4 linked regions of the Arabidopsis thaliana genome follow. The protein of the gene in region 3 purifies or fractionates together with the protein of the main gene of each other region. This does not show direct contact. Each region holds a gene or a part of one and is shown on either strand. Other genes may lie near its edges. The genes, in order: MOR1, AT1G28060, AT1G12380 and AT3G56790.

Evidence for each region.
Region 1: the proteins of AT1G12380 (region 3) and MOR1 fractionate together in Arabidopsis thaliana (co-fractionation; one large-scale study listed by BioGRID). This does not show direct contact.
Region 2: the proteins of AT1G12380 (region 3) and AT1G28060 fractionate together in Arabidopsis thaliana (co-fractionation; one large-scale study listed by BioGRID). This does not show direct contact.
Region 4: the proteins of AT1G12380 (region 3) and AT3G56790 fractionate together in Arabidopsis thaliana (co-fractionation; one large-scale study listed by BioGRID). This does not show direct contact.

The regions. Positions count from the first base shown.
Region 1 is NC_003071.7:14,962,941-14,970,907, forward strand, and holds the start of MOR1 (ARM repeat superfamily protein), read left to right. Parts: upstream 1-3,633; 5' UTR 3,634-3,887; coding exon 3,888-4,050; intron 4,051-4,245; coding exon 4,246-4,351; intron 4,352-4,442; coding exon 4,443-4,566; exon of another isoform or gene 4,567-4,870; coding exon of another isoform or gene 4,871-4,933; intron 4,934-5,299; coding exon 5,300-5,379; intron 5,380-5,466; coding exon 5,467-5,644; intron 5,645-5,940; coding exon 5,941-6,005; intron 6,006-6,291; coding exon 6,292-6,374; intron 6,375-6,468; coding exon 6,469-6,554; intron 6,555-6,701; coding exon 6,702-6,815; intron 6,816-7,099; coding exon 7,100-7,219; intron 7,220-7,382; coding exon 7,383-7,485; intron 7,486-7,623; coding exon 7,624-7,760; intron 7,761-7,967. Other genes in the region: FEI2 (Leucine-rich repeat protein kinase family protein), read right to left, coding at 85-156, 251-322, 711-782, 1,035-1,106, 1,195-1,266, 1,357-1,492, 1,604-1,700. UniProt on the Arabidopsis thaliana protein: Microtubule-binding protein that is essential for cortical microtubules organization and function. Essential for maintaining the interphase cortical array and for correct morphogenesis.
Region 2 is NC_003070.9:9,774,933-9,784,481, reverse strand, and holds AT1G28060 (Pre-mRNA-splicing factor 3), read right to left. Parts: upstream 5,632-9,549; 5' UTR 5,500-5,631; intron 5,480-5,499; exon of another isoform or gene 5,368-5,479; 5' UTR 5,316-5,367; coding exon 4,839-5,315; intron 4,726-4,838; coding exon 4,444-4,725; intron 4,353-4,443; coding exon 3,975-4,352; intron 3,893-3,974; coding exon 3,698-3,892; intron 3,601-3,697; coding exon 3,446-3,600; intron 2,870-3,445; coding exon 1,996-2,869; 3' UTR 1,616-1,995; downstream 1-1,615. Other genes in the region: AT1G28070 (ATP-dependent RNA helicase), read right to left, coding at 618-965, 1,218-1,400; BBX13 (B-box type zinc finger protein with CCT domain-containing protein), read left to right, coding at 6,825-7,610, 7,802-7,969, 8,254-8,498, 8,612-8,714. UniProt on the Arabidopsis thaliana protein: Functions in the RNA-directed DNA methylation (RdDM) pathway. Acts as a pre-mRNA splicing factor, likely by affecting Pol V transcripts. Affects DNA methylation of transposable elements (TEs) and preferentially influences NRPD1- and ROS1-targeted loci.
Region 3 is NC_003070.9:4,212,602-4,221,051, forward strand, and holds AT1G12380 (uncharacterized protein), read right to left. Parts: upstream 4,812-8,450; 5' UTR 4,280-4,811; coding exon 1,898-4,279; 3' UTR 1,657-1,897; downstream 1-1,656. Other genes in the region: AT1G12390 (Cornichon family protein), read left to right, coding at 7,746-7,817, 8,367-8,450.
Region 4 is NC_003074.8:21,031,891-21,038,010, forward strand, and holds AT3G56790 (RNA splicing factor-like protein), read right to left. Parts: upstream 2,566-6,120; coding exon 1,945-2,565; 3' UTR 1,887-1,944; downstream 1-1,886. Other genes in the region: AT3G56780 (FBD, F-box and Leucine Rich Repeat domains containing protein), read left to right, coding at 1-745, 845-967, 1,084-1,386; CAM3 (calmodulin 3), read right to left, coding at 3,091-3,464, 3,955-4,030; AT3G56810 (uncharacterized protein), read right to left, coding at 5,037-5,587.

The sequences.
Region 1 (7,967 bases), on a different chromosome or scaffold from region 3:
TGCCAGATCAACCGTAGAAAGATTTATCAACCATAATTTACAAAAATTTGGTTGGGGAAATGGGTATATATAAATTATACTTACGAGTCCCTCGAGAGTCTAGCGAGTAGGCCGTCAGAAGGTATTTTTCCCACCAGGAAATTGTTTGAGACATTGCTTCAAAAGAAGATCAACATAGTTAGTAACATTGACACTCATATATCTACAGGACTGCAAAATAAAATACGCAAGTTAGAGATTAGCAACTCACAATTTAGTAAGCCTTTTCAACTGCCCAAGTGAAGCAGGGATAGCTCCATTGAGATTGTTGTTTGAGAGGTCCCTTCATAAATGAGAGTCAAAAATCATAGTAGTTCAGAAGAATGTAGATGATATGCCCATTTAATATGAAAGAAGCCTAGCATAGATTTACAATTCTCATCATCATATTTGAGAGTTTTTCACCCGGAAAAAATAACACAATACGTGATTAAATATAAGTTATGTCAAACTCCCTATAATTTTTAGGGTTCACCACGACTGTAGAAATAAGTACTTTCGAAAACATTATGTTGTTGCTGCATGGAAGATCAGAAGAACCTCTTGTAGTTCACAATATAATTATAGAGGATACTAAATGGTGAGAGTAGATAGCAGAACAACAAATAGCAGATCCTAGAGAGGCTAAGAAAACAAATCCACTTGGAAGAACGAGGAAAAAAACCACGTACAGGTTTTTCAGCCCGGACAGGTTTCCTATTTCACTTGGGATTGTCCCAGTGATGTAATTATTCTGCAAGTATCTGCAAGGAATAAAAGGACAATAAATTATAAAAGATTCACAACGATTCTTGTCAACTAGCTAAACTTGTGACTGAGTTTATCATCACTCACAAGACGCATCAATATTATGCACCAACTATATAGAAGCAAATAAAGAAAAACACTAGTAATTGTTAGGAAATAATATAAAATTTGGAAAAACAAAACGAGAATTCGATCAGCAATGAAGTGTAATCACACTAATCAGCATAAGTATTTGGGAAAGCCCTTACATTCCCTCTAATGCCGTGCAATTTCCCAATGAGGCAGGTATTGATTGATATAACGCATTGTTGTGAAGCATTCTGCAATGACATGGGAATACACATACAATGAGTAGTAGAGCATATGCTAGACATCAATAATATTAATTAAAAGGTTAGGAGCACATACAAAAGCCTTAACTGATCCAGCTTTCCAAGCTCAGGGGGTAAAGGTCCCCTTAATTTGTGATAAGTAAGACTCCTGCACACAAGAAACTTCAGGAACCGACAAAAGATGCACCACATACTGAAGAAAAAAAAAGAATTTAAACTAAAGAAATTTTAAACTTACAAGGCTATAACTCTTTTTGTTTTTGCATCACAGGTCACTCCTTTCCAGTTACATGGATCAGGATCCTCTGGTCTCCACAGACCAATAACACCATCAGAAGCCAAAACTCCATTTCTAAAACTCAAAAGCGCCTCACCTGGAGAAAAAAAGGATTTAATCCCTTCAGCAATCTGGGCGGAGTAAATGGTGATCATGACTTGTCAAAGACAAAATATAGAAGAGATTAAAGACACATATCGCTGTATACCATCAGGACTAATTGCTTCATTTTCATTCGTTAGTGCAGAGAGAAACGAGATCAAAAGAAACCATGAGCAGCAGCGCTTCATTAGACAGATGCCCATTATGGCACCGTTCAAGCATAATATAGCTACTGCCAATCATCTGAAAGAACAGCCTCCGGAATGCAACACTCGTAGCATATACTCAGCTGCTCCGTGACGCCCAGTCTATCTTCAAGAAACAAAAAGAGACTCCTGAAGTTAAATAAAATAATGTCATTAGACCGTACAACAATAACAGCTGACCCTCATTTGAAACTCTATCAAGCCTCGATCTTCCAATAATCAGACAACCAAATCCTCAATTACAAATCAAGCGTTCCACAACATCGATGCACAACATTTGCATGGTCTCATTAACAATTACAGCACCCAGAACAGTGAGATTATCTAATCGGATCAAATCCACCTCCCAAATTTGCAAAATCAGAAATCGAACCTTCAGAATAAAACCCCAACTCATTATTTAAAGAGGAGCTCGGATAGCTAAAATCGAACTTAAATCACGAAATTCGGAGGACATCATTGCAATCACAGCACAAGAAGAACTGAAGAGTCAACAAAACCATTCAATAATCTAAAAAAACGAAATCGATTCGCCGATAACTCAGACCAAAATCTCACTTCCCCCAAAAAAATGGCGAAAGAGAATGGGAATTTACACGAACCTCAAAATGGATCCGCGAGGAGGAAGATGAAGATGAAGAATAAGACAGAGGAAGAAGACGCAATTGAGCTGTAAAGCAATGTCTTAACTAACAACTTTTTTTTTTTTGTTGTTGTTGTGATTTATGAGAGAGTGAAGAGAGAGAAAGTAGAGTGTGCAGTGGAAATGTGAGATACTTTGGAGAAGGAATCGGCTAGTTACGAGTTTACGACCAATGAGAGAGGAGAAGTGGAGACCACACGTGCCGATCATGACTTATTACACGTGTCGACCGACGCATTGTATAATGCCAGAACTGGACAAGGGCTTGTTGGGTCAGTTAAAACATCGTTATTGCGTGGGCCTACTAAAGCCCATTGTTATTTATTTGGAAGCGTACTGTACTTTACTATCTTTAGGGACAATTCTTGTATTTTCAGCTTTAGCGGATCTTATTCACCTAAATCAAACAAACAAGTGTACTTAAAAATGGAACAAACAATGGACTGATAATCATTATTTCATTTGCTTTTATAATAGAAATCAAAATATTAATATTGGATTCAATCTTTCCACGTAACTTCTTGTTTTGGTAATTTCATCTATGATTCTTATAAATTTGGTACCATTGTAAAAATATGGCTTAAATTTGAGTTGTTGTTTCATGTGTTAGCAGTAGACAAGAAAAGATATCTGGAGATAGAGAGTTACATCACCTAAGACATGAGGATGGAGATGGAAAAGGTGTAAGGTGTGGTGTGGCTTAAATATTCTTGTACTAATTATCAATCAAAGTTTGTTTGAAATTTGAGTATTTGTATTCTGAATTTGAATTAGATATTTCAAATATATTAAAATCCAAAGCGAAATCAGATCCTAGCATAAATATTTAGGATATTAAAATAATAAATTTTAACTAGTTTTTAAATCATAAAATACACAATGTTTTTGAACTTCCATAATCAAACTAATAAATCCATTTTGGTTTACGTGTCTAGTTTTATAGAAAATGACTATTTATTTGTATTTTATAGAAGAAAAGATAATCCAATAAGTAAGTAATAATAACTCATGATTTTGTTGATTTTTTAAAATAAATATTTTTATAACTAAAAATGAGTTATTCATTTCAAAATATTACTTTATTTTCTTAGAAATTAATAGATTGTTAATGTAAATATATTTTGAAAATATTTACAGAACCAACAATAGGAAAATTCAGTACTGTTAATCATTTCCTAAAATAGTTTGAAAATGCCGATCTCTCCACGTGGAGAAAGCAAAAGAAAAACGCTCGTTTTAAGATTTGAAATAATCGCGCGTGTAAACATTTCCAATCAAAACGCGCGTGAAGGGTTTTTAACAAAAAAATTACACCACCGATTTAAACGTAGAAACCAAAATTCCCCCACTCTCTCTCTCTCATTACGCTCCACCCTACTCTTCTTTTTTGTCCTTCTCTCTCTCTCTCTTGCCGGCACTAACAACACGAAGAAATTTTTTTGAAAAGAGAGAGAAAGTTTCCAAGAGACCGTACGAAGAAAAAAAAAACTTGGTATAGATCGATAAGATCGATACCGTCGGAGAGATAATTTCGTGGAGTAATGTCGACGGAGGATGAGAAGTTATTGAAGGAGGCGAAAAAACTTCCTTGGGAGGATCGGCTTGGGCATAAGAATTGGAAAGTTAGGAACGAAGCTAACGTCGATTTAGCTTCTGTTTTTGATTCGATTACTGATCCTAAGGACCCTCGTCTTCGCGATTTTGGTGAGTTTCTCTACCTCGTTTTTTTATTATTATTATGTTAGGGTTTTTGTTTTTGAAGCTCAGATCTGATTAGGGTGGTTTATATCGGTGTGGATCTGTTTTGAATTTGGATTGTTGAGTGGGAATGTGATTGGTCTAGGGTTCCATTTTGCTTTACTTTTGATTGAATTTCTGATTATTATTTTTTATTCGCAGGTCACTTGTTTAGGAAGACGGTGGCAGATTCTAATGCGCCGGTGCAAGAGAAAGCGCTTGATGCATTGATTGCGTTTTTGCGAGCAGCCGATTCAGATGCTGGAAGGTATGGTGTTGTTTATTTTTATTGCTTTAGAAATGGGCAGAGTGGAGTGTTCGTTTGCATGTGAATAATTAGTTTGTTTCTGCTTTTGAAGGTATGCAAAGGAAGTTTGCGATGCTATTGCGCTCAAATGCCTTACGGGTCGGAAGAATACTGTGGACAAGGCGCAGGCTGCTTTCTTGCTTTGGGTAGAATTAGAGGCCGTCGATGTTTTTCTGGTATGTCATTCATTCTATGTTTTTGCAACACTGCTAGGGTTATCTAGACACATACGGTTAACCCTTGCACTCTGATGTATAGGTTCACCATCTAGCCATAGAGTTACTTGCTAGATTGCTGATACTGGTATCTGAAACTAGATAGGTGAGCTGACATAGAAATGAAAGTGCTTTATAACCCAGAATTCAACCATATACTGATCTTAGAAGGAGTGACGTAGAATATAGCATTGTGGCTCTTTGTCCAGTTCTGTGTTATGCTAGGTATCTAGTGTGGCATAGGAAAAGAGCAATTTAAATAACGATGACTGACAGATGTCCTGAGCATCCTGTGTTCAAGGTCAAGAAACAGAATCAACTTTCTGGGGTCTGTTCCTATAATCACCCTCTTCAGTAACCAACATTTCCAGTTTTGAGTTGTTGTCACCGTGTCTCAAGCTGTTGGACTTCTGCTATGAATAATACTTATTTCTGAAGGAGAAAGGAATCTAGATACCTTCTTTATTGTTGTTTTCAAGATATCTACCATAGTGTTTTGTTCAAAACATCATTTCCTTCAGAAGTTTTAATTCACTTCCCAAGTATAAAGTTGCAATAACTCTACTTGATATGCATTGTTTCAGTCATTTCAATTTTCAACTGCCAACAAGATATATATTGGGAGACTGGGAGTTGTATAGTTTATAGGATAACATCGTTTTTATACATGCTAACAGATTTGGCATGATTGTAGGATACGATGGAGAAAGCTATAAAGAATAAAGTTGCAAAGGCTGTGGTACCTGCAGTAGACGTTATGTTTCAAGCTCTAAGGTCTGTTTTCAACTCCTTGTTAGTTTTCTCCATTGGTTCATGAAATCTTTTATCTGAAATATCGACGCTACTTTATTTCTACCTTAGTGAATTTGGATCAAAAGTTATTCCACCTAAAAGGATTTTAAAGATGCTTCCTGAACTTTTCGACCATCAAGATCAGAATGTCCGTGCATCTGCCAAAGGAGTGACTCTTGAGCTATGCCGTTGGATTGGAAAAGACCCTGTAAAGTCTATATTGTTTGAAAAAATGAGGGATACGATGGTAAGATTTATGTTGAGCCGCACATTTGCAACTTAGCTATGCTGCCAAGTTGATATGAACTGGATTAAATCCTCTTGATTTTTCTTGGAATTGGAAAACTGAAACAGGGGTTTCTAGTCATAACAGATAGATAGATGATAGATCCCATTGCGGATAAGAACCACACCTTACCTGTAAATTCTGCCCATGATTTGCGTTTTTCTTTAATCAGTGGAAGAAGTTACACTTGAATTTTTATTTATTCTCTTGTGCTTTGTTGCAAACCCTAATATTCCGTTTCATTGTTACTATGTAAGAAAAAAGAGCTGGAGGCTGAGCTTGCCAATGTTACAGCGGGTGCCAAGCCTACTCGAAAGATAAGGTTACTACCACATACGATAATAATTGTTTAATTTTCCTAATTATTCATTGGCACATACATCTAATATATTTTGACATTTATTGGTAAGGTAAAACCAGATCCAGTTTCACCGTAATTCAGCCTATGCTTTGTGAATACTCAATGTGCCTCTGTCAAATTTCTGAATAATTGAATTGATATGCATGAGTATTTCTTTTTGGTTTCAAGACCTTTTTCTAGCCTGTGTGAATTTTAAAGTTGAAAAAGTAAAGCTGCAATGAGATTATTTCTGTATTTGGCTTTCAAGATCTGAGCAAGACAAGGAACCAGAGGCAGAAGCTAGTTCTGATGTTGTGGGTGATGGGCCCAGTGAAGAAGCTGTTGCTGACGGTAAGTAGCTTGTACCTCAATGAATTGTTCTTCATCAAGTAATAATGAGAAGTCTGCTTACATTGTTTTTTCTTTTATCTACCCGTACTATCAGCGCCTCAAGAAATAGATGAGTATGATCTTATGGATCCTGTGGACATTTTGACACCTTTGGAGAAGTCTGGGTTCTGGGACGGAGTGGTGAGTTTTGATGCTTAATGCACATTTTACTATGTTTTATTTCTTGTGGTTGTCTTTCACTGAAAGAACTTTTTTATACTATACCACTTACTTCTCATGTTGATTGCATGTGGCACATTACACTAACTAACGATGTATCCCTTATAGAAAGCTACAAAGTGGTCCGAACGTAAAGAAGCTGTTGCAGAGCTAACAAAGCTTGCTTCGACTAAAAAGATAGCTCCTGGTGATTTTTCAGAAATTTGTCGGACTTTAAAGAAGGTAGTTAACTTTCCATGATAAGAAGTTTAGGCAGCATTGATTATATGTATATGTTATAATCCTTGTTATGTTTTATTCCGTAAGTGGAATATTATCTAATTGGTGATGATGCAGCCTGCAAACATCTGTGCTTATTGATTAATCTGAAGTTCGAAGTTCATGCGTTTCAAAATGTTTTCTGGTCGCAATCATAGTTTGTGGATGCTGCTATTGTTCAGGATTCAATACTGCATAACTAATTTTGCTTTCGTTTTGATAATATTTGTAAATATTTCCAATTGCAGCTTATCACGGATGTGAACTTGGCCGTTGCAGTTGAAGCTATTCAAGCCATTGGAAATCTTGCATGTGGTTTAAGAACACATTTCTCTGCTAGTTCACGGTTTATGCTGCCTGTTTTACTTGTGAGTCATGTAGCATCTTTGATCGAAAAGTATAATTGGAGGAAGACGCTTCCAGTCTTATGAGTGTTAATACTATTTCTTAGATATTAATGGGCTTAAGTAGCTGACTTGGTTTTAGTCCAGGAATTGATACAAAATTGCTGTCTGTTTGTTCCTTGAACAGGAAAAATTGAAAGAGAAAAAGCAATCAGTCACAGACCCACTTACACAAACGCTACAAACAATGTACAAAGCCGGGTGTTTGAATCTTGTTGACGTTATAGAAGGCAAGAGTCAGTTTATCTTGGATTTTATTTTATGAAGCTCTACTGATTTGCTTATGATTATCTTTTTTAGATGGCGACCAATTTTGCTTAAGCATCTGTCTTTCATCAGTTTCCAATCAACTTTACTCTCTTTTGCAGATGTGAAGACAGCAGTGAAAAACAAAGTTCCACTTGTGCGTTCTTCAACTTTGACCTGGTTGACATTCTGCCTTGAAACAAGTAACAAAGCTCTTATTCTAAAGGCTCACAAAGAATATGTCCCTTTATGTATGGAGGTTAGTTTTCTTGCGCCAAATGGCTCCTAATAATACTTTGACTGAACTTTAAAGCATGGCACTGTTAGATTAGCTATATGCAACAAGTTAGTGCTAAAAAGACAGACAACGTATGTCATGTTGCAGTATTATGATTAGTTGGTGTAGCGAAAGCCTGGAGTTTTGATTGCAGTTACCCCTTCTAAGTTTGAAATTAATCAATGGTTT
Region 2 (9,549 bases), 5.6 Mb from region 3:
TTGGTCAAAACCAAAAAAATAATCAAGGATTAACTTTTGATTTATAAATTAAAATGGGAAACAAAAGAAACAGAAATTGTGGTAAATCACATGCTTGCAATCATTATGCTTTTTAAATTTTCTTTCCACGCAGCGCGCGAGTCTTAAGCTTCATTGACCAACTTTTATGCAACAACTATCCTAAACAAAACTCTCAAGACTCTCTCCTTTCATTACCAATCGATATTATTAACCTGACAGATCAGTTAGTCCCATAAAAACACACCAGTCTATTCAAGCAACCTCACGATTACGTAAATCCCATAAAACACATGCAATCACTAGCACTTGTTCCACCGGATCTGCATTAAGCCATTAACCACATTTTGTTTTGTTTTTTCTATCCGATCTATTTAGTTTACACAGTCTGATCTGCTTTTCACTAATCCATGTTGTTGTTTTTTTCTTTTCCAACAACTTTGAGACATTGTCTTTAAATATAATGCCACAACACGAACACTAGTTTATACATATACGAGTTAAGAGATTAAAAGACAAAAAGAGAGAAGACAACCCTCAAATCTATGTGAAGAAAACTGAAAATGAAATGAGAAAAAAATCAACAACGAAAGATAGGTTCAAGGAGAAGTAGAGTGAAGTTGATCAAAGTGGAGAAGCTGAGTTGCACATTTGGGGCAATCCTTAAAGAGTTTAGGTACCATGAAATACATTAAACAAGCTTTGCAACCAGCTACCACAAGAACATCTTCGTCTTGTTCCTCTTTGTGATACTTTCTTGATGAAGGAGACGACTCTGATGAAGACTCTTCGCTTTCATAATACGAGCTAACTTCTTCTGATGAAAAAACTGTTCCAGACGATTCACCACTGGATTGGTCTGCATAGTTACCACGACTCATCGATTTTCTCGGATCTTCTTTCACTCTCATTCCACTATTCCAGCTTCTGTAGTAAATCTCTCCTGTCTATAAACAAAAACCCCACCTCAGCATCTCAAAATTTGATGCTACATAGCAATTTCAAACATATTTATTCCCCAAAACGAAAGAAAATACTAGAATTATCAGTTAAGGCGTTTAGTTTAGCCATACAATTACAAATCAAGCTTGAAACCAAAACCCTTTGAGCATTTTGAGACAAAACAAAATAAAATTGAAAGATCAATTATAAGGAAACATGGAAGGAATCTGTTTCTTTTTGTGTGAGTTTTCTTTTACCTTAAGATCAAGACACTGTTCCAAATGAGAAGGAACAGAGAAGTGAGAACTGAGCTCCAAGAATCTATCTGAGATCGGGATATGTTCATCGCTCATACCAAATCCATCTCCCATACTACTTCTCCGATCAATAAGTGAACAATTCTGCATCGATCTCTCTAGATATTCTGTTATATCCGCCATCTCCTCTTATCACTATAATGATTCCAAAAGCAGAGGAGAAGAAGAAGAAGAAACAAAAGAGATAGATATTTGGAAGGAATGAAAACAAGAAAAACACGAAGGAAGACTCTTTAATCAAGGAAAAAAAAACAGAGTTTGAGGGTAGTTTGGGGATTTTCATGAGGTCACGCGCCCGTGTTGGTGGAGAATTGTTGGGTAAAGAGAAAGCTGGAGGAGGTGTAGCTGTCAGGTACATATTGAGCACTCAGGCTCGCATCTTGTCGCACGTTTCGTCCAACCATCTACACGCGCGGCTCATTCTTCTGACTGTACACATAATTATGTTATCGGTTAGTGGCCTCGATATTTTTAAAACATTATAGTTTTGTTTTAAGTCATAATCATACTTAACCAATGGTACTTTTTTGGCTGTGACTCAGATAATTCATGTTGTATCATCAACCTTAAACAGTTTACCTAGTAAAAAACAGATCATTTCTTGTTCAAAAACTAAAATACCAGACACCAGGGGAATATATGTTCATAGAAGTGCAATAACATGTCCAAATAGTTAACGCATTTCAAGGTGATGATGATGATATGAGGGAGAGAGGATTTAGTCGTCTGAGTAATTGACAGCGAGATCCCAGTAGTGAACAACACCAGCATCCATGAAAACTTTCTTGGCAGTGGATTCCGTCACGCATTCGTGTACATGAAACCTATGAAAACTCGGTTTCCCAATACTTCCTTGCCAAACCAACCAACACTTGTTTCCGCCATTCACTTCTTCTTCCTCGTCTTCATTCCCTTCCTTCCTCTCTGCCTCTTCCCAGTTTATTCGCTTCATCATCAGCTTCCCGTATCTCTTTATCGCTTTGCTCTTGCCCTCAACCACAACCACACTCATTTCATCCGTCATCACACTACACCCTGTTAATCTGTTCTCTCTTGCATTCATCTCCACTTTGAATCTTGTTTTAGGGTGCGATAACTTTTTGATCTTGTACACCGACACAATCGTCTCAACCGTTGTTGGATCATCGAAAAGCTTCCTCTCTTTCTTCTCACGTTTCTCTGCAGGAGTTAGCTTCCGGGCAGCATTCCTATCTGTATGAGCCTGTTCACGCTCAGCAGCTGCTGTGCGGATCTCTTTTTCAAGCTTTGTTGGGTCTTGGGTCGCTTCAGAACCAAGAACCTTCATTAAGTTGCTCATCTTCACCTTTGCTTTTGGTGGTTCCAGCAACCCTTGTCTGATCATCTCCTGTTTCTCCTTTTCTTTTGCTAGACGCCTCTGGGTTCGCAGTTTCTTCTGTTCCTTCTTTGTCAGTTTAAGAGGTTGGGGTGGTGGAGGAGCTGCCTCTGCAGGTGGCTCTATGGGACGAGGATGCTCAATGTAATGAGTAAGTTTTTCTATCTTCAGATGGCTTTCAGTAATGGTGCCATCAGTTATTTCGCCGTATTCGCCATTGGTGAGGACATTTGCATCCCTGAAACATAAAACAATTATGAACTAAGAAGACTCATCATGAACATATACCAAGAAAATAGACCAAAACGACAGAGCACAAAGCAGCTAGATTAACTATTTGGGCTGGCATTGAAAGGTACTAAGTAGATCATAATCATCAGTAGATTCATGTTACCATATTTTACTACCAATCACACCGTTGCTGATGACAAAACCATTGAACTTTCAGAAGTTGTATGTGGAAAACTAAAGCACATATGCGAACACTCAAAGAAATCAAAGAATTGAAATATTAATTGTATATATCCCACCTAAACGAAACTAGATAGTAATTCAAAAAACAAACAAACAACCCTAAACCAACATGAGCAACAAGAACACCAAACAAATTATATGAATGTCATCCGTAGCTGAGAGCAAACTAAAGTTATTGTTATGGTGATTCATCACAGTCATCAAATACTCCAATCGTTACAAGTTCAGTTTTTAAGTGCAGGATGACTTGTTTCCACCAAGGTTATGCCAAGTGAATGTCAAATCAGAAACAAAACAACTTAGCATTAACAGAAAGGGTAAGGTGAGAGAAATTACGTACCACCACTCAACATCTGGAATTGGCTCCTTGGGCTTCTCTTTTCTCGGGACACGTTCGGATACCTCTATCAAATTTGGATTTATATCATCGTTTGCCTTAGCCAGTTGTGCTTGCTTCACCTTCAGCTCCTTCGCTTTTGCTTCACCAAAATGACTCTATAAAGAAAAGACAGAAATACACACAATGAGACATCTAAAAGACCACCAAGAGAGAATATCGTCAAAAAGAATCCATACAAAAGACAATGCATACCTTAAACTTCAAATTTTCAGCATCTCTTGTCCATTTACCTTCCTCAACAAACTGGAAACTCATACGTTTAGGTCTCAGAATCTTTTTTTCATCAATACCCATCCTTGTGTCAAAATAGGGGTTTTCTTTTAGATCTGCTTCCAGTTGAGGTTTAAGAATCTGAAAAGCATCTTTCTTCTTTTTGTTTATGTTAACCTGTAAAATCCAAGTACTTTAGAAGCTCGATCATATAAAGAAAAACATGAAAACTTAAGATATTCAAATTAACATTGCTGACCTTCAATGTACTAAGATTGCTTGGTTTAGTCACACTAATCACATTTCCGTGTTCATCTATCTCCCTTCCTAGTGCATCCACGCGCAGAACAGGGGGCTTTTCCGGTCTCTGTGCAACAGTCATATCTGAGGGTGCCTGTCCTGGAAATAGGTTAATAACGGGAGCGAACTCTCGATCCTGATGAAATCCCATATTAGCTGCCAGCTCCTGGGCTCGCTTAACAGCTTCAATGTTGGCAATACTCCCAAAGCCAGCAAGGCCAGTATGTGGTAATGTTGAAGCAAAAGATGTGCCTGTAGAGACAGCAGGAGTGGTAGTCGATGGTGGCACTCTGGTATGTGGGCTACCTTCTGAAGTTGGCTTAGTAGCCTTCTTCAGCTGCACAGAGAATAAGAAAAGCAATTTATCAAATACAAAGTTTTCAGAGAAGAATGAACGCAAAAAAGTATAGAATATCTGTACATCTTACCAAAGGAAGGTTCTTCAATCTATCAGCCAATCCCTTTTGCAATTGTAGTGCTTTCCTAGCTTTCGCTGCTAACGCTGATGAATCAAGAGGCAAGTTTGCACTACTTTTCCCAGCTGTGGACAATGGTCTTCCATCTGTACTAGATTTTCCAGGAACCTCATGAGATCTGACAACACTAGCCTTATTTTCATCCGTTGTAGATATCGAAGATACCTTAGTGAGCAGTGTTTGACTAGGGGCAGCAGAAGCTTCCGATGGAATAGAACTATATGTAGAGGCTCCCTGCACAAAAAAAGAAAATGCAAGCATTAGCTAGCGAAGAAGACTAGAGGTAATCATGAACAAATCGCAAGTAGCAAACAAAGAAGATTAACGAAAAGGTATAAAGAACTCACCATCGTAACGCCACTGGTTGGATTCGTAGCCCCAGAACCCTCAGAGACTTGAGCATCTTTGTTCTCAACTTCAATAGCCACATCCTCAAACCTGCTCCTCCTCTCACCATTCCCATCAGCAAACCTAGATTTCTTCTTCCCATCCCTAGCCCCATTCTCTTCCTCTCTATCTTTCCTCTTGCTCCTCGATTCCTTCTCTTTACTACCTTCGTGAGACCTCTCATGGTGATGCTTTTCCCTATCTCTACTCCCTTCTCTCTCGCCTCGCTCTACAGATCTCCCTCTTCTATCCTTGGTCCTATCTCTCTCATCTTCCCTATCGCCGCGCCTCGATGAACGGTAGTGATCTGAATCACGACGCTTCGAATCAACATCGCGGTCACGGCGGCGTCCTCCTTCACGTTGTGGAGAATGGTCGGGACTCGAATCTCGATCACGATCGTCACGGTGGCTCCTGGAATATCTCTCCTTATCCATGGCAGAATTTAGGGTTTATTCCTAACAACAATTTGCTTCTGATTCGCCGGTCCTATAAATATACGAAAATTCACAACCGGAATAAACCAGCGATTCAGATTAGAACCAAAACGACCAGCGAAACCAAGTTCTGAATCAGATTTTTGTTCCTTCCGGAAAAATCCTAAAGGGAGCGAAACGATACCGGATCCGGAAGATATATAATCCAATCACCGGACTACAAGCTTCCCTTATGGGCTGAAGCCCATTTTTGAGTTCCTTCTTGAGATAGTTCTTCAATTTTGAGTCTAATGGGCTTTTATATCATCTTTTACTTAAAAAAAAAAAAATCGACGATTCATCTTCTATAGAGATATATGAAAATTCAAGCTATTTATCTTTAAAAAGAAAAATATTTGATGTCAGGTCGCAGTTTTCTTACAAGCAGAAATCCAAACTCTTCATACCAACTATTTTTGGAATAAACAAGATTTCTTTGCCAAGAGTTTTCATACCAACTATTTTTTGGATAAATAAGATTTCTTTGCCAAGAGATTTCCACAAGTTGACCACAAATTAAACATTCGATCAAAACTCAAGAATTCAAATATAGAAGTATATAACGCATATATTCCGCTTTGACTCAAAAAAGAAAAAACCCGCTCATATACTGTATTATGTATAGTCTGAATCACAAACTCTCTAACACGTGAAATTTAATGCGTTAGTCAAGAATCGTTCCGATTGTTACCACTCCCCAGGAACTTTTTCAAGATATTTATACCTCAGAATGATAGCACTTTACAAATAAGTTATACTTTTTTTCAAAACAAAAAAAAACAACTTATTGAAGTCTATGGACAAAAAGAAAATATCTAACATGAATCCTAAAATATCTTTACGATTTTAATTTTATCACATCTTTTGTCAAGAACTCGTGTGTAGCAGTTTATTATGCACATAAATATATGCTATACATTACGCTGCAATGTTCGTAAATACTAGTTCCAGAAAAAGACGATTCCAGCCGTTATTACACTGATCAAAAAGTTATTGCTATATACGGAAAGAATTAATCCCATAAAAATCATGTGCTTTGAACTAACTTTCCCTTTATACGTTAAAATAGATATTTAGGTGAAAAAGCAGATTAGATATTTTCTCTTAGATTCTCTGTCACAGTCAACGTAAGCTTCGCCGTCTGAACAATGGCGACTCTCTCAGCACGCTTTTACACCGTCAGATCTCAACATATCTCAATCTGAACAATCCATCATACACAAGTTCCATACATCGCAACACAGAAAAACAAATCCCTAACCCCAAACTGTTTACAATAATTAGCTTCGTTGTCTTCTTCATTCCAAAAGATTTGCAGATAATTTTGACAAAGCCCCCCAAAAAAAAAAAGAGTTCAAAATGAAAAACGTGAGAAATGGATTTGTCATCATTCTTCTCACCGTCCTTAGTCTCTGAAAATAAATTCTGATTTTGATTTCGAATTTTAGGGATTTTGAGAGAGAGTCAGTTATGAGTAGTTCGGAGAGAGTACCGTGCGATTTCTGCGGCGAGCGTACGGCGGTTTTGTTTTGTAGAGCCGATACGGCGAAGCTGTGTTTGCCTTGTGATCAGCAAGTTCACACGGCGAATCTGTTGTCGAGGAAGCACGTGCGATCTCAGATCTGCGATAATTGCGGTAACGAGCCAGTCTCTGTTCGGTGTTTCACCGATAATCTGATTTTGTGTCAGGAGTGTGATTGGGATGTTCACGGAAGTTGTTCAGTTTCCGATGCTCATGTTCGATCCGCCGTGGAAGGTTTTTCCGGTTGTCCATCGGCGTTGGAGCTTGCTGCTTTATGGGGACTTGATTTGGAGCAAGGGAGGAAAGATGAAGAGAATCAAGTTCCGATGATGGCGATGATGATGGATAATTTCGGGATGCAGTTGGATTCTTGGGTTTTGGGATCTAATGAATTGATTGTTCCCAGCGATACGACGTTTAAGAAGCGTGGATCTTGTGGATCTAGTTGTGGGAGGTATAAGCAGGTATTGTGTAAGCAGCTTGAGGAGTTGCTTAAGAGTGGTGTTGTCGGTGGTGATGGCGATGATGGTGATCGTGACCGTGATTGTGACCGTGAGGGTGCTTGTGATGGAGATGGAGATGGAGAAGCAGGAGAGGGGCTTATGGTTCCGGAGATGTCAGAGAGATTGAAATGGTCAAGAGATGTTGAGGAGATCAATGGTGGCGGAGGAGGAGGAGTTAACCAGCAGTGGAATGCTACTACTACTAATCCTAGTGGTGGCCAGAGTTCTCAGGTTTTGCTTATCTCTCTTTTGATTTTTTTGGCTAAGAACAGTTTAGTTTTTTCTGTTAATGAGCAAGTGAGATTAAGTGGTGAAATGTTTTTGTGTAAGGTCAAATATAGTCACTCTGTGTGGTTTTATGGTTTCTCAAGAAGATAAAAAAATGAAAGGTTTCTTAACCTGTGTTGTGAACTTGTATACAGATATGGGATTTTAACTTGGGACAGTCACGGGGACCTGAGGATACGAGTCGAGTGGAAGCTGCATATGTAGGGAAAGGTGCTGCTTCTTCATTCACAATCAACAATTTTGTTGACCATATGAATGAAACTTGTTCCACTAATGTGAAAGGTGTCAAAGAGATTAAAAAGGTAATAGTTCTCATTAACCTTAGTCATTTAAGTAGAGTAGTGTTTAAAACACAATACGTTGTCATCTCCCGTTCATCCTCAAAAATTGTTGTAGACAGTTGCTTCTTTTAGTGAATGATAGAATTCAGAACATGAAACCTAGTCAGAAAAAAGTTACAAGCTGGTTTGCTTTTCTTTGTTTTACCTCATCACCAAGCCACCAATTCTAACATTTTGGCTTATGATATATATTTGCTAGACTGCTATGCAACTTAACTGTGATGCTGATTAGGATTCTTTTGCAGGATGACTACAAGCGATCAACTTCAGGCCAGGTACAACCAACAAAATCTGAGAGCAACAATCGTCCAATTACCTTTGGCTCTGAGAAAGGTTCGAACTCCTCCAGTGACTTGCATTTCACAGAGCATATTGCTGGAACTAGTTGTAAGACCACAAGACTAGTTGCAACTAAGGCTGATCTGGAGCGGCTGGCTCAGAACAGAGGAGATGCAATGCAGCGTTACAAGGAAAAGAGGAAGACACGGAGGTAAATGCTGCTTTTTTCTTTCCCCTTTAATAATTTTTTATTGCCCATCTCCCTTAAAGAATCTGATACCATATTTCGTTTCTCCCTTTGTCTTGGATCTCGGGTGCCAACAGATATGATAAGACCATAAGGTATGAATCGAGGAAGGCAAGAGCTGACACTAGGTTGCGTGTCAGAGGCAGATTTGTGAAAGCTAGTGAAGCTCCTTACCCTTAACCTTAAGTCTCTTCACATAGGCTTCCTTTTAGCTACAAACTTAGTTACTTTTTTTACTTCCACTGCCTCATAAATGTACAGACCGGTCTCGTTTCATCTGGCCGCCCTTCTGTTTTATTGCCTTATCTGGCCCTTTTATGTACCTTGGAATCTTATCTAGTTTAAAAAAGATTGTAACCTTCTAGAAAACCATATTCTGTTGACAGTATATACATGTCTATCCAAGCATTTTGAAGTCTCACAAGCTAATACGCCTTGATACTCTTTGTTTTAAAAACCCTGACTTATGGCTGTTAATCAAAGTTTTCCAAGTCCAGTTCGCAGATGGCGAGCGGATCTGCGGCTGTGGTTCTTCGTTGCTGTTTCTTTGGTGGTTCTGGCTGTGTTGGCCAATTCAGAAGGTATAAATCTCCCTACTTAAAGAGTTACTCACAGGCGAAATTCCACAATCAGTTTATTCTAGTGTATAATACATGTAGTGGATGTTGTATAATGTTTATGCTTGAATGTCATATAGCTCTGCAGACGTGGGATCCGATGCAGGTGACAATTCTTCTTAAAAGACAACTAATTCTCTGACTTTCCTCTTAGTGACTATAAGAATAGACCAATTCTCTATTAAATTTTTCGTTTAACAATTCCCTCAATCAAGAATTCTCTTCTCTGTATTTCTCCTCTCCATCTTTATCTTACCTCTCCGAAACGCCTTGAACCCTCAAAAATGTCCTTCATCCTACTCGGATTCATATCTTAATAAATGTGAACCACTTGGAATCCCCATTCGTTTTCCTTTCTGCGGCAATCCAGGATTCAATCTCCACTGCAACAACCTCGA
Region 3 (8,450 bases):
CCTTTTAGCTTTTTTAAACCTTTTAACGCAAAAAGAAAATCAAATACACATTCATATAATTCGAGAGAGATTTGGTGAGAAGTCAGCATTGCCGACAGGAAATTCTGCCTCACCACCAAAATGGTGAAAATACCAAACCAATAATTACAACAACTTTATTTAGGTTGTAATTATATGAGTACATAATTACACTACCCTCTTATTTCCACGAAATATGAACTCATATTATTTAATATATTGACAAAAAAAAACTTGTGTTTCTGTGTCTTTTAATTTTCATTGAAATGATGATGTACATGCAGTAGTAATAAAAGTGAAAGCCGATGTATTCTAAGATTTTCTTATAACTATTACCTAATTTAAGTTTTGATTTTTTAAAGATCAACTATTCGAGGAGGTGGGCGAAGTGAATATAATGCATGCTAGAAAGTTCAAAGTTTTACAATGAGAAAAAAAAAAGTGTATATAAAAGAAAAAAGTAGTATACTTTGCTATTTGTGGGGTATAAAATTTAATTATTGATTTCTACTTTTAGGGTTCCCCTCTTGTTCAGCATAGTTACAAATTACCACTCCAATGAAAATGATTCCTTCTTAAATAATTTAAGTGAAAACCTATATTTCCTTCAATCAGTAACCTATATATAGATTCGACTTTATTATTTAACAATACATAAGTATGAAACTTACTTATTAAATATAACAGTGTTTTAGAATGTCGTACATATTTGTTTGTGTGTATGTGTGTGTATGAGCATGTGTGTAAAAAAGAAGAAGAGGTACTTGACTTATCTATTTGTCTGTAACTTAAATGGAAAAATAGCATCTAAATAATTGTATTTCTCTTTACTATTTCGAAATAATTGTTTGTTTTCTCTTTGCTTTCACTGTTCTTACTTAATTTGTGTAATTTCACTTTAGCTGTCCGGTCAGTCCATTTATGAAATCTTGCCACTAGATTTCAAAATTTGTGGTACTATTGATAAAGTTATGATTTACAAGAATATAAATCATGGGTTACAGTTTTTTAAATACCCCACAAAGTACAATACCATGGGCTCATAAATAAAGAAGAAATCTTTTAACCTTTCCAACTATTCATAGCCGTAAAAAAATCATGGGTAAATCACACATCTTGCTACAAAAAGATTAACAAGGTTTCATTTATAAACATCAAAAAGGGTTCTTCACATTTACAATCTCACAATTTCACCTTTTACAGCTTTAAAATGAACTTGTATACAATAGCCAAGAAAAACTTGCTTTCATGGTGGGGATCCACATTTTTGTTCTTCTAAAAGACTTAATAGATTGATATAGATAGATAATCTCATAATCATAATCATGGTTAAAATTAAATTGAAACCCGTTAATCAGGTTTTGCTCTTCAATAACTCAAGATATCAAAAGTATATGCATCTTTAGTCTGTCATTGCCAACAACAAACGTTATCATGAAGAAAGAACATTAAACTTTCAAAAGTTAAGTCATTTTCTCTCGAAAAGTAAAGATATGTTTTCAAGTCATGATTAAGAATATGAATTTCCGATGAAAAAAGCGAGTGGGATCATTACACTATTGTACCAAGAGACGAAGAAGCAAAAGCTGTCATTAATTAGAGTTTCTAACTTCTAACCGATACATCGATGATAAGGACAAGAAACTGAAATAGACACATATGTTATATCGAAAAATTATGATGGTATATTATATAGACTAAAGAAATACAAATACTCTCAATCACCTTCTAAAGAAACCAAGTACAAATTGAATATTAATGATAGTATGAATGAGATACTAGTAAATCAAAGAAATGAATTTAAACAATCCTAAAGAAATGCCAAATTCTAATGAAAAACTAAGGTGAAATCAAATTGATCAAAAAAGAGATTCAAATGTCACACTGAGGACGTATCGACAAGAACATCGTTTAGCATATGGTCGTCACCATTAGCCATAGCGAGAAGCTCTGCATCCCTATCCTCCTCGTTTGAGAAATCTCTCCTTTCGAATTTCGAGTTAGCGGATATGAAGATCAGCTTTTGAGCTCGATCAACGGCTGCATGTGACCGCCCGTTCGAGTTTACCCATTTCAAAAGAGAGGAGTTGCATTTGAACCCTCCAGTCGTAGCGTGGAGGAAAATGAGCCTTACTGCAACTTTTCCTAGTGACCTGAACTCGCTAAGATACGTCTCCCAAACAAGTCTACTGCTTTGAGGATTCGCTATCCTCATCTTTCCGGAAACCGGATCACGCTCTTTCATTTGGACCGCCCTTGCATACATAGGATCAAGCCCTTCGGTTCTCCATTTCATTAGTTCCATCAACGCAATGTGTGCCTCATCTCTAGACACAAGCCTTGTTATCAACTTATCTACATCTTTCTCTTGCTCTGGCGACAAACATTTGAACGGAGGAAGATACTTTCCGCTACTATCTCTTATCAAGTAAAGAGGGTCAAGTATAAAAGCCGCAGCCCAAGCCGGATGATAACTCTTCTTGAATCTTCTCTCAACGACTTTCTCCACATGTCCTTCCCCTACATTAAACTTAGAATCCCAATCTTTAACCTTAGCTCTTAGCTCATCCCATAGAGGTAAGCATTGCCCTACAAGCAGCTTCTCTTCCTCTATTCTCCGAGCCATCTCTTTAACAAGCTTGATCAAAGCATGAACCGCTTCTACCTCGTTCCAAAACCCTTCGTCACCAACCATCTCTCTAACCTCCCTAGCCATATGATCCTCCATTAAAACAACCTTGCAAGCATCATCATGTACTACCAACTGAATTGCTCTAGCGGAACTCAACACATCTTCAAGAAGATTAAACAACGGCTCGTAGAAACAAACCTTGTTACTACCACTACTACTACTACTACAACTTCTACGTTCATCGTCGTAATAGCAATGTAAAGGCAACCTAAGCATTATCGATTCGCCATGTTCCTGCAACTGATACTTACAGTGAGCGTTACGTATCTGCGCGGTGTTATTGATGAACTTAGCTAGTCTCACACAGTTTTGTGAAACGGATTTGAATAAAGGAAGCTCTTTTACGAAATCTTTGATCAAACTGTTGAGTCCCTGAAACTGACAAGAAAGATTCACCATCCATTGATGTTGACTCTCCAGATTCCTCAGTGCTTTGGTCTTAAACTTATCAGAGACTATCCCAACACATCTCTGAGGTGAATTTCCACAAATACCCTTCACCGTCTCCAACAAGACCTCCTCTGCGTAGTTAGACGGCACAGCTCCGTTCACAAGTACCGCTCTTCTGTACAAACTCGTCCCGTTTGGTAAATTCACAATCAAATTCACAAGACTCTCGCCGGACTCTCCTGGTTTCCAACCGTCCGATGAGATTTGGAAGAACATTGCGTCTCTGATTCTCGATTCAGCCTCTGCTCTGGCTTCCTCGTGCTTCAAGTCCAATCTCGTGGTGGCGAAATCTCTCTTGGAGATGATTGGTAAACCAACTTGTGTTAAAAAAGCTCGAAACTTTGGATGCTCAAGACCCGAGAGAGAAACAGAGCCGCAGGACTCGAAGACCCAATCAGAGAGAGAATCTAAAGCTGACTCTATCTGCGATCTGGTAAGAGACTGAGTCTGCGACGGTTTAGGACTCTTAAGCTTCTTCACACTGTCTTCAAGCATAGCTAAAGGACCCAAGTCATCTTTTCCACCGGAGAGCATCAAATGCTGCGGCGGCGGAGGAGTTGAATAATGCAACTCTCCGCCGCAGAATCTAGAAGGATCAACAACGGTTATCGGCGTGACGTGATAAGAGCCTCCGATGGGAGGAGGGTTAAGCCGAGAAGGAATCGCGGTGGTGACAGCGCCGGAGGAGTTACGTTTCCGGTGATGAGTTTGAGGAGAGGAAGAGGAAGAGGTAGGAGAAGGAGTGATGGTGGAAATGGGAGTAACAGAGTTGAAATTAGGACACGTGCCGCGTTTGAGATGCTCAGAGGCAGTGCGTGAAGGATTAGAGGCGGAGAAAACGGCGTCGCATAAAGAACAACGAAGCTTCACGGCTTTAGGGAGACCAGTGTCGGTGTTGCGTACGAGGATTGGTTCAAGATGAGTCCAATACCACGCGCCTTTACCTTTCACTGCTTTTGTTCTCACCGTCATTAAACCTTCGTATCTCTTGTTTAATGCTTTTGCTGTTAGCTCGTCTGTTGTTAACCCATCCATCGCCGGAGGAGCAGGAGCTGGAGGAGGAGGAGGTGGTGGTGGTGGTGTCTGTTGAGTCGCCGTGTGAGCGTTAGTCGTCGCCATCAAGAAAGAAAAAAAGTTTCTAAATCGGAAATTTCGAGGCTCTTGCTAAAAGGGTTTTAAGCGAGAGTTGGATTTTACGTGTGACATTCTTCAGCAGTAGGATTTCGCCGGAAGACGACGATCTTTAACGTCGCTGCCATTTTCCGGCGATCAGAAGAAATGAAATTTTTACTCACTTCTTTAGTTTTTTTTCTTTCTAGTGAGCTCTTGTTCTTGACTGTGAATGGTTTTTTCGAAGAAAGAGACAGAGCGGAGAAGAAGAGGAGAGAAATATGGAAGAAAGAGAGAGAGTTACAGAGGAGGTTGAAGCACACGCGCATGGAGGTGAAAGAAGAGAGTCCCACGTCGTACGAGAACACAAACGTTACATTGGCTCGTAGTCTATCTCGCTTTCTCATCATTGGAGCGTTTTAGTCACGCGCTTTAAGTTGGTTTTGGGGGATTGTTTTTGTTATGTGTGTTTTTTTTCTTTCAACTTTTGTTTCTTTTTTTCTTTCGAAAATCTCTTTTCTTGTCTCCTACTTTAATATTTAAAAGAAAAAAAAATTGGAACTATTTGGGACCTTAATTTAATGCATTTTATTTAGATTTTTTCTCTTCTTAATCTTTATAAATGTTTTTCTTGTGCTATACAGTTTCAACCACCAATGGTAATGTACTTTCGTAACTTCAGTTGAACGGATAAAAAAACAAAATTGGGATCTTGAGAATTTTGAAGGCTCTAAGTTTTGGTAAAAAAAGAATTATTAACATAGGCTGAGTTTTTAAAAAAATCTAAATGATTAATTCGGTTTATAGAATCCTTATTGTGAATTTAGTTAGAGATTATGTGAACGTTGAAGACACTTTTTGAACATTTTTTTTGGATTTGATTACAAAAATGAAAAAAATGGGTGAGTGGGATTTCCATTTGTGTCCTATTGTCTACGTGGGATGAGTTCAGAATTTGGGCATAAAAGGGTAGAGTGAGAATTTAATTTTTGTTTCTAGATAGACAATGAAAGACATTAACGCAGAGACTGTGTTGTGTTGACCATTTTCTGTTGACTCATAAAGTACATTTCTTTGTAAATATTTTTTTTTGGTTTGTGTTGAAAGTTGTTTATTTTTGACTGCAACCTTTTACAACTTCCATTTTTTTACCGACACTTTTGGTTCCTACTAATTCCAACCATTTTTTTACTTTTTGTTAATCTCAATAGCAATTTTGCTTTCATTTGCTTTGTATGAATGTTCATGAATCATGTGTGTCTTGGCCGTCGTTAGAAGTTTGAAGTCATGATTCATGAATAACAACATCCTTTGTACTCTTCACAACTTCTACCTCTTTTTAGTTAAAAGTAAAAACCCAAAAAAACATGAACACACACTAAATAAAATTATGACTGAGGACCAATATTTACCTAAATAAAATTACTGGCCAATGGACACATTTAGCTAAATACCAACCAATCTGTAGCAGTCCAACAAAGTACACATGCTTTTCACTCATAGCCAAAAACTTAGAATTTTACTTTAGTATGTCGTTGATCTATGAATAATTTAATACAACCTATAAAACCATATCAATGCGAACAAACTCATACTAATGAATATTAAAAACACATTTTCTTGATCAACTATTCCAGCTAATTAACCACAACAAAGACTATTTCTTATGTGTCACACACACACATACACACACACACACATAAGTCTTTCTATATTTTACCCTTGATTTTCTACTCTTATTCCAATGCAAAAAGTGTCTTGAACTTGAACTTGTAAATCTCTCTTAGTAAAACGTATAATTAAAGTTATAAGTGGAGGTTAGTAGGAGTCAAGTTTTAATTGGTCAATATCTAATGTCATAAAATCCATGTCACAACTGTCTCCCACCTTCTAATGTAGAAGTATCATGTATGCATGCTTATATGTATGAATGATCAATGAATTCTAAAGTCTAATATACAAAATCCACCCATAACTGTATCTATATAATAAAAAGGCAGAAAATTAATTTCTTACCACATAATTTAGAGCAGTCCTATCTTAAAAAGATGGATAGTACTATCTATAAGAATGATCTTGTCTGTTACATACCAACCACCCAAAAACCATGGATTATGCCCTCTAATTTTATTTTTTGATAAACGACGTTTGCAATATAGTGATGAGAACTATTAATAACATCACTTTGTCATACGTTTTATTAACTTAAGGTGTCTACAATGTAAACAATGTAACAATATATCAAAGTAACTTCTTACGTTAATCTCCACTTAAATAAAATAATGCTGATTTTGTGAATGAAATTTGAAAATAAAATGTTTAGAATTGATATATACTTTTTTGCATGATACTTTTCATACGTGGAATGAGATTTCAAGATTGGTCCCTAAATGCATATATTAACTAAAAATAAGTAACTGTTGACAGAAAATAGGTATGTTATAAATTTGAATCTTCATTTTCCAGTTAGTGAAAACGAAGAGCCAATCCTTTCAGTTAAAAAAATACTGATATTGATTATTACTGTATCAAACGTAAATTGCTTGATTTACAATCTTGTACGAGAACTTCTTTTCCCAACCACTCCACTATATCGTGTTATACCCGAAATAAATATATATATACCATGTAAGAAATAATAATAGTTGAAATAAAAATAATGCCACCTTTTACATTGATAGCGATAGTAATTATTTGATTATTGAACTTGGATGGATTTAGTTACTAACATAGCTTCTTTATTTTACAACTTAATTGAACCACACTAGAGAGGCCAGAATCTATAATTAGTGAGGAAAATCCGACTAAGCTAAACCATATTACAATTCCAAAATGCTATCCTTCATAATCTCAATCTCTTAATCCTTGCAATTATAAGTTATGGATTCACCGTTCTTGAGAAAAGAAAGAAAGAAAAATACATGGAAAAGATGAAGCTTGTTTTTCTTCGTACTAGAAAACAGCTGGCTTTTCTCAATCACATGATTGAATGGTTTCTGGTACCATTTTTGTTTTTAATTTTTCATTTTTGATTTCCTTAAAACTATACAATAAGACAATGACCTAAAAAAAATTATACACGACTCAACAAAAATTACACGGCTCTCGTGCCCAAACCCAAACTGTTTACTATTTAATTGGGCTAAATCTATAGAGGCCCAATGGCTTATAAATCATAGATTCATAATACTGAAATATTAAACCGGCGTAAATGGTACGTACTTCGGGAAATAACGAATTCGATTTTAACCGGAAACTGAACCGGAAGCTGAGTCTCGTGCCTGCCTTCTCTAGGCTTCTTTGTTTCCGATCAGAATCTCGAGCTCAACTGTCAAAACTAGCCGACCACTAAGTCGTTGTCCTAACTTTCTCTCTGTTCCTCATCGAACATTATTGGGAGGAGAGAGAGAGAGAGAGAAGACCAAGAAACAACGAGGATAGATCCGAGGAAATTGTCGGAACCAAAAGGAGGAAGATGGGAGATATCTGGACATGGCTTATTTCCTTCTTCTTCCTCATCGCTCTTGTCGGAATCATCGTCTATCAGGTGCGATTCCCAATTTCTAGGATAAATAAACCCAAAGTTCTTAACTTTTCTATCGGAATTTGCCAATTTTTTCGCTTACGGTTATAATGATACCATATTTGTCCATTTTGATTCATTTGGAGCCTTTTTTTTGTTTCTGGGTAGTCTGTGATTTAGCTAGAATTAGGGTTTTATGTTCTTGTCACATGTTTGGAAGAAGTAAAGGTGTAATTTTTGGGAATGTTATCATCAAAGGAGTAAATTCAGGAACATATATAGTGCGTATTGGCTTCTCAAAACACTTTTATAGGTTCATAGTTAGTTCTTATGTTGGATGTTCATGTCAGGTCTGAGGATTTACCTCCTTAAGCACAGGTTGTTCTTTTATAAATGAGCTCCATTTCGGCATAATGAAGTGAACCCTTTAGTTTTGTTTGTGTAGACTCTAATGAGAGGAGTCACTGAGACTGATAAGCTAGCAAACGGAATCTTCCATGTATAAACAGCTTGGGAAGACATTTTCTAGGAAGCTAACTTCTCTTTTCTGAATTTGAATTCTTTCATTTGCAGCTTGTTTGCTTAGCGGATCTCGAGTTTGATTACATCAACCCTTACGACTCTGCGTCGAGAATAAACTCAGTGGTTTTACCGGAG
Region 4 (6,120 bases), on a different chromosome or scaffold from region 3:
ATGGATTAGAACCGCGCTTCATCATCATCATTGCCACCTCCGTGAGCTAGAGATAGATGCTTGTATTGTCCATACCGTATTACCTCCTGAATTGTTTACCTGCAAAACACTTGTTGTCTTGAAACTCAAAGGTATAGTGATCGATGTGGAAGCTCCTCTTACAACGGTCTCTCTCCCATCCCTAAAAACTCTGCACATTGACCACTCGAGTTTATTCGACTTTGGATCCCTTCAAATGCTTTTATCCAATTGCAATTTTATTACTGACCTAATGGTCATAAGAGAATCTCGTTTCTTTTTTGCTGAGTACGACGTTTCTTGGTGTAAAACACTTATGGCCTTGAAACTCGAAGGCTTGAAGGATGTGATAAGCATTTCTTCTTCTTCCGCGGTATGTCTCCCACTCCTCAAAACTCTCCATGTTGCCCGCATGGAGGACTTTAACAATGATTCCTTTTGTCGGCTTTTATCCAATTGCCCTGTTCTCTCCGACCTAACACTGGAAGAAAAAACCAGTGATGTTTTGTTGAATTTGGATATCGACATGCCTTACTTACAAAGATTGTCGATTATCACAAGAGTCGATGCAGATTCCAAGCATATTTTTAGTTTGATGAAAAACTACACTCGAAAGCTTGCGATTATCGCACCTTCTTTCAAGTACTTCAGCATTCAAGAGTTGGCATATGCAAGCCGTTACCGGTATATTGTACGGGTTAGGCTCGGAGTTCCATCAAAATTAGAGGTAACTTTTTTCATTCCATGTCGTTTCTTTCTCGTGTTATATCTTGTTGGAACCATCACATAAATGAAATATCGTGTTTTTTTTTTCTTTTTTTTCTAGGATGCAAGTACCTTCAGTCGAATCGTGCATCTGGAGCTGAGCATATGTAGTGAAAGATCTGTGGAAATGCTTGTAGATTTGCTCCTATGTTTCACTAAATTGGTGGTCCTCAAGCTTGAACATGTATTCAGTTTTCTCCCTTTTTTCCTTTACCATTGTAATTTATACTAGTGTTTAATATTCGACCTCAATGATCTTATTATTAATAGCAGTTTTACCATTTTTTCTCGTGATCGCAGGTTTACTTACTAACCCCGTTGGGTCGTTGGGAACCGCCAAGTTTGGTTCCCGAATGTTTGTTGTCCAGTCTTGAAGCTCTAGAGTGGAAAGGGTACACAGGGAGATACGGAGATAAGGATCTGGTGAGTTATCTCCTGAACCATGCGCTTTGTTTGAAAACGGCAAAAATCTTCTATAAGACATATCCATGTGAAGTGGAAGCGAAGCAACAGATTGAAGAGGACTTAGCTTCGATGCCAAGAGGTTCAAAGTCATGTGAAGTTCTTTTGAATGAAATTATAAGAAACAAAGCAAATTGTTAAATGATTGCTAATATTTGGAAGAAACTCGCGGACATCTTATGATTTGATGCTTCACTAAATTCAATGTTTCATTAAAATTTCTACTGAGGTGTTTCACATTCTCTTGTGTTTAGGTTTTTATTGGCCTTCTGTTTCGTTGATCATTTGAAGCTATTCAATGAGCCCCGTTAGGAAATCAATTTAACGTAAACTGACTGCCATTGATAGGACCTAATTTGCATTTAAAAAAACAATGACACTAGAGACCTTTAATAGAAAACCACGAACTAGACCAAGTTACAAATTACAAGAGCAAGACAACAGAAATAACAAGGCTTTTGAAAATATTCAGACGCAAAATAGATCATAAAGGGATATAACATTCGTTTCTTAAACAACCAGAAAACATACCTCGAGTCCCACACAAAAAAAAAATTAGAACATAACACAAGAATTTATATGTAAGAGATGCAAACCAAGTTTAGAGCCATTGTTTGGTTCCAAAACAGCATCACTTAGCCATCATGACCTTAACAAACTCTTCATAGTTAATCTGTTAAATGAGAAGAAGGAAACTCTTCATAAGAAGAAGTCTTGGGTTGCTAATTCAGACGCAAGAACCTTCATTAGGTTGCTCAATTTCACCTTTGATTTTTGTGGTTCAAACAACGCTTGTCTAATCATCTTCTGTTTCTCCTTTTCTTTTGCCACACGCCTTAGAGTTTGCAGTTTCTTCTCTTCCTTCTTTGTCAATTTAAAAGGTTGGGGAGGTTTAAGAATATTCTGAAAAACATCTTTCTTGTGTTTGTTGTTGTTAACCATCAATGTACTAAGATTAATCACATGCCCATACTCATCTATTTCTCTTCCAAGTACATCTACACGCAGAAAAAAGCCCTTGGTCTGTTTATGTGCAACAGCCGTATCTATTGCCAGCTCCTGAAATCGTTTAACAGCTTCAAGGATTTGACTAGAAGTAGTGTCCGATGCAATAGAACAAGTATACGGCCTTTTCTCAAACCTAGCTACATCTTCAAACCTAGAACTCTTGTTTGTCGTCCTAGCCGCCCCATTCTCTTCCTCTGATCTATCTTTCCTCTTACTTCCTTCGTGAGACCTCTCATGATGATGCTTAGTCCTATCTCTCTCATCACGATCGTCACGGATGCTCCTGGAATATCTCTGCTTCTTGTTATCCATGATGAGACAAATTTAGGGGAAGTATGAAACGAACGTGAACAAAGAAACACAAAGGTATTTTACCTATATTCACATCAATTGAATGATCCCAATTCAACCACGAATAGGAAACTTTATGCCGTTTTCCTTTTTCTTAAACGACCACGAATTGGAAACTTTTATGTCGGTTTCTATTTTTTTAATGATACACACCACACCACGTTTTGACCTTTTTAGTCATTGATAGGACCTAATTTGCATTTCACAAAACCATGATACAATGCTTTACTAGAGAGACACCATTAATAAAAAACCGCGAACTAGACCAAGGTTACAAATTACAGGAGCAAGACAACAAAAAAACAAGACTTTTGAAAATGTTCAGACGCAAAATAGAGCATAAAAGGGATAAAACATTCGCGTCTTAAACAAGCAGAAAACATACCTCGAGTCCCATGAATAAAAATTATAGAACATAACATAAGAATTTATATGTAAGAGATGCAAACCAAGTTTATAGAGCCATTGTTTGGTTCTAAAACAGCATCACTTAGCCATCATGACCTTAACAAACTCTTCGTAGTTAATCTGACCATCACCATCAACATCAGCTTCCTTGATCATCTCATCAACTTCTTCATCAGTAAGCTTCTCACCAAGGTTTGTCATCACATGGCGGAGCTCAGCTGCTGAGATGAAACCGTTCTGGTCCTTGTCGAAAACCCGGAATGCTTCCTTGAGCTCTTCCTCAGAGTCGGTGTCCTTCATCTTACGAGCCATAAGGTTCAAGAACTCTGGGAAATCAATGGTACCGTTACCATCAGCATCCACTTCGTTGATCATGTCTTGAAGCTCTGCTTCGGTTGGGTTTTGTCCAAGGGAACGCATCACAGTACCCAGCTCCTTGGTGGTAATGCAACCTACAAGCAAATCAAGAATTTGTTCATCATTCACTTCTCTGTAAATCTAATTCAATCAAATATCTTCAATTACGAAACTCAAAGCAGGTTTCTCTGTAGAGAAGCATTTTAGCTAGATCCCAAACTTCTCAATTAACAGTTTCTAGTCATTAACTTCTCAAATCTAAAGTGAGATAAAATAATTCAGATGGAAAATTAAATCCAAATCGATAACAAATTGGCAAATCTCCAAGTCATCAATCATCCAAATTTCGATTCAAATCCAATCCAGGAAACAAACGAACAAAAATTGAAAAACAAGGAACGAGTCTAGAGATCACGAATTACAGATCCGTTAATTATCTACATCGACACAGATCAATTGAATCAACAAGAAGAACAGAAATCAAATCAGTTATGGCTAGACACCAAGATCCAACAGTAGCAAAATCCTATGTATTCAAAAACATTTGAAATTGCGAGAGGGAGAGAGAAAAAAACAACAACGTACCATCACCATCCTTGTCGAATAAGCTGAAAGCTTCCTTAAACTCAGAGATCTGATCGTCGGTGAGCTGATCCGCCATTGTTTTTTTCTTCTCCTTTTCGTGAAACCTGTAGATTCAGAATTTTTTTGTTTTCTCTCAAAACGAGAAAGAAGAAGAAGAAGAGAAAATTAGAAAAAGTGTCTCTGCTGGAAAAAACGAGAGAGCAACCGTATTTATCGGGTACGAAGCTATTAACGACTTTTGCTCCGACCCGGGACTTTAAAAGCTTTTTTTTTTAACCCGTACCGGGTTTGGAAAAATCTCTGTTATAACCTCGGATTATGACTGTAATTGCGTTAATGCTATCATCAATGATTTCTTTTCTCTTATAAAACGCCAGAGTGGACAATTAAACGGATCACACGTTCACGCGGTCTGTACGCGGAGCGTTGACTTGACTGTCACGTCAGCATTCTCGCTGGGTCCTCGAGATCTCTCTCAGTACAGATGTCTGTTTATGATTGGCTTCGCTTTTGAATTTAAGTAGTCCTCCTCACCATTGAAAACAAATAATTAGTTTCTTTTATTGTTAACTTAAGTACAATATCACCTGCAAATTAATTAGATTAGATTTCGTTTTCAAACAATCAAAATCACTTCAAGATATAATTGATACGTCTAATCAATTTCTTAATAAATTCTATGATTAAATTATGTATATAAGGTAACTTAAGAAAGGTATATATAAAGAGAAAACGATCGAGTTTTAAAATATAGGATGAGTTATTAAAAAAAACATTAATATCTGTATCTAGATGAATATATTGTTTCTGATTTTGTTAATCATTCATTTATTTAAGGAAATCTATGTAGTACTAGTATATACATGAATTCATCAAATAGGGAAAGTTTTTATATTGAATGCAAATAGTGTATCATTCATTAAACCCTAAACAACCAATTGCACTCTATTGAAAGATATGTCTTAAATTCTGAATAAGCTAAGAAAATTATAAAATAATTTAAACAACAAGTGTCATAGGTGAAAATTGTCGCAACTATGACTTCCATAACCGTCACAACGAACCTAAAGATATCAATCGCATCAAAACACTAATCTTCTTCGACACGCGTCGAATGGGAGAGAGTTGCTGCTGCCACGTCGGATGTGTTGGCCTTTACCTCCTCCGCCGTAACAAACAGAAGAATCCACCGGCGATTGATAAAACTCGTCGTCGTCGTAGTCAGAGAAGGAGAGCTCTCGAACGGTCTCTGCGATCAAGTCGCGACAGATGTGATCATGAAGAGCCAAACCGATTTTAGCGACCTCTCTTCGTTGACCAGATGCCACGTCATCACAAACTTGGTTCACGCTCTCCATCAAGCTCCGTCTTACCCTCCGCACCACAAGGGGCAACGTGCCACATGACTCTGTCGTCGTCGTTGACGTTGATCTCTTGGAAATGACGTCATGAATGGAGTAATGATCGGGTCTAGTGATTAGATTTATATTGTTGACTTTGTAGGGTTTGTTGTCTTTGCAGCAATATTCGTGATGGTTCATCATCGACAACATCGTGTCTGTGTCTGGTTCGTGTTGTGTCGTCTTCGTGTTCTTCTGCGTGTGCGTCCCCACGACGACATCTCCTGCCAGTACTGTTGGTTGTTTGTTAAATAAGACGAAAATAATTTATCAGACAACTTGTGTGTTTAGTATATAAATTAGTACGTTGTCACACAAATATATATAAACTATTACTAGCGAATAATAAGACTCAGGCATACATGAAGTGCTTGTAGAATCATTTTTCTTTAAAAGTGGTGTTCTTGATTTGGTACCATAAAACAGTATGTGGGTCAGAATCAGGAATAAATCAAAGAATGGGTGGGGGTCCAAATGATGGGAAAAGTTAAAGTGGGCTTCATGACTAAAGGAATAAAGGCCCCTAAAAGCTGTTTCTTCCTTCATCATTTGTCTAACATGCCTCTTTCTCCTCACACTTTCTTTACTCTCTTCTCCACTTTAATTTGATCCTATCAGATTAGACTAAACCTCATTACATAATTAGCCCCACCGAAACTTAATTGGGGTCCATACTATATTGTCTTTATATAATTTTGAACACTATCCTCAATATGACAACAACTATATAATGATCCAATTGTTAGAGCAATTAGATGTGACATCA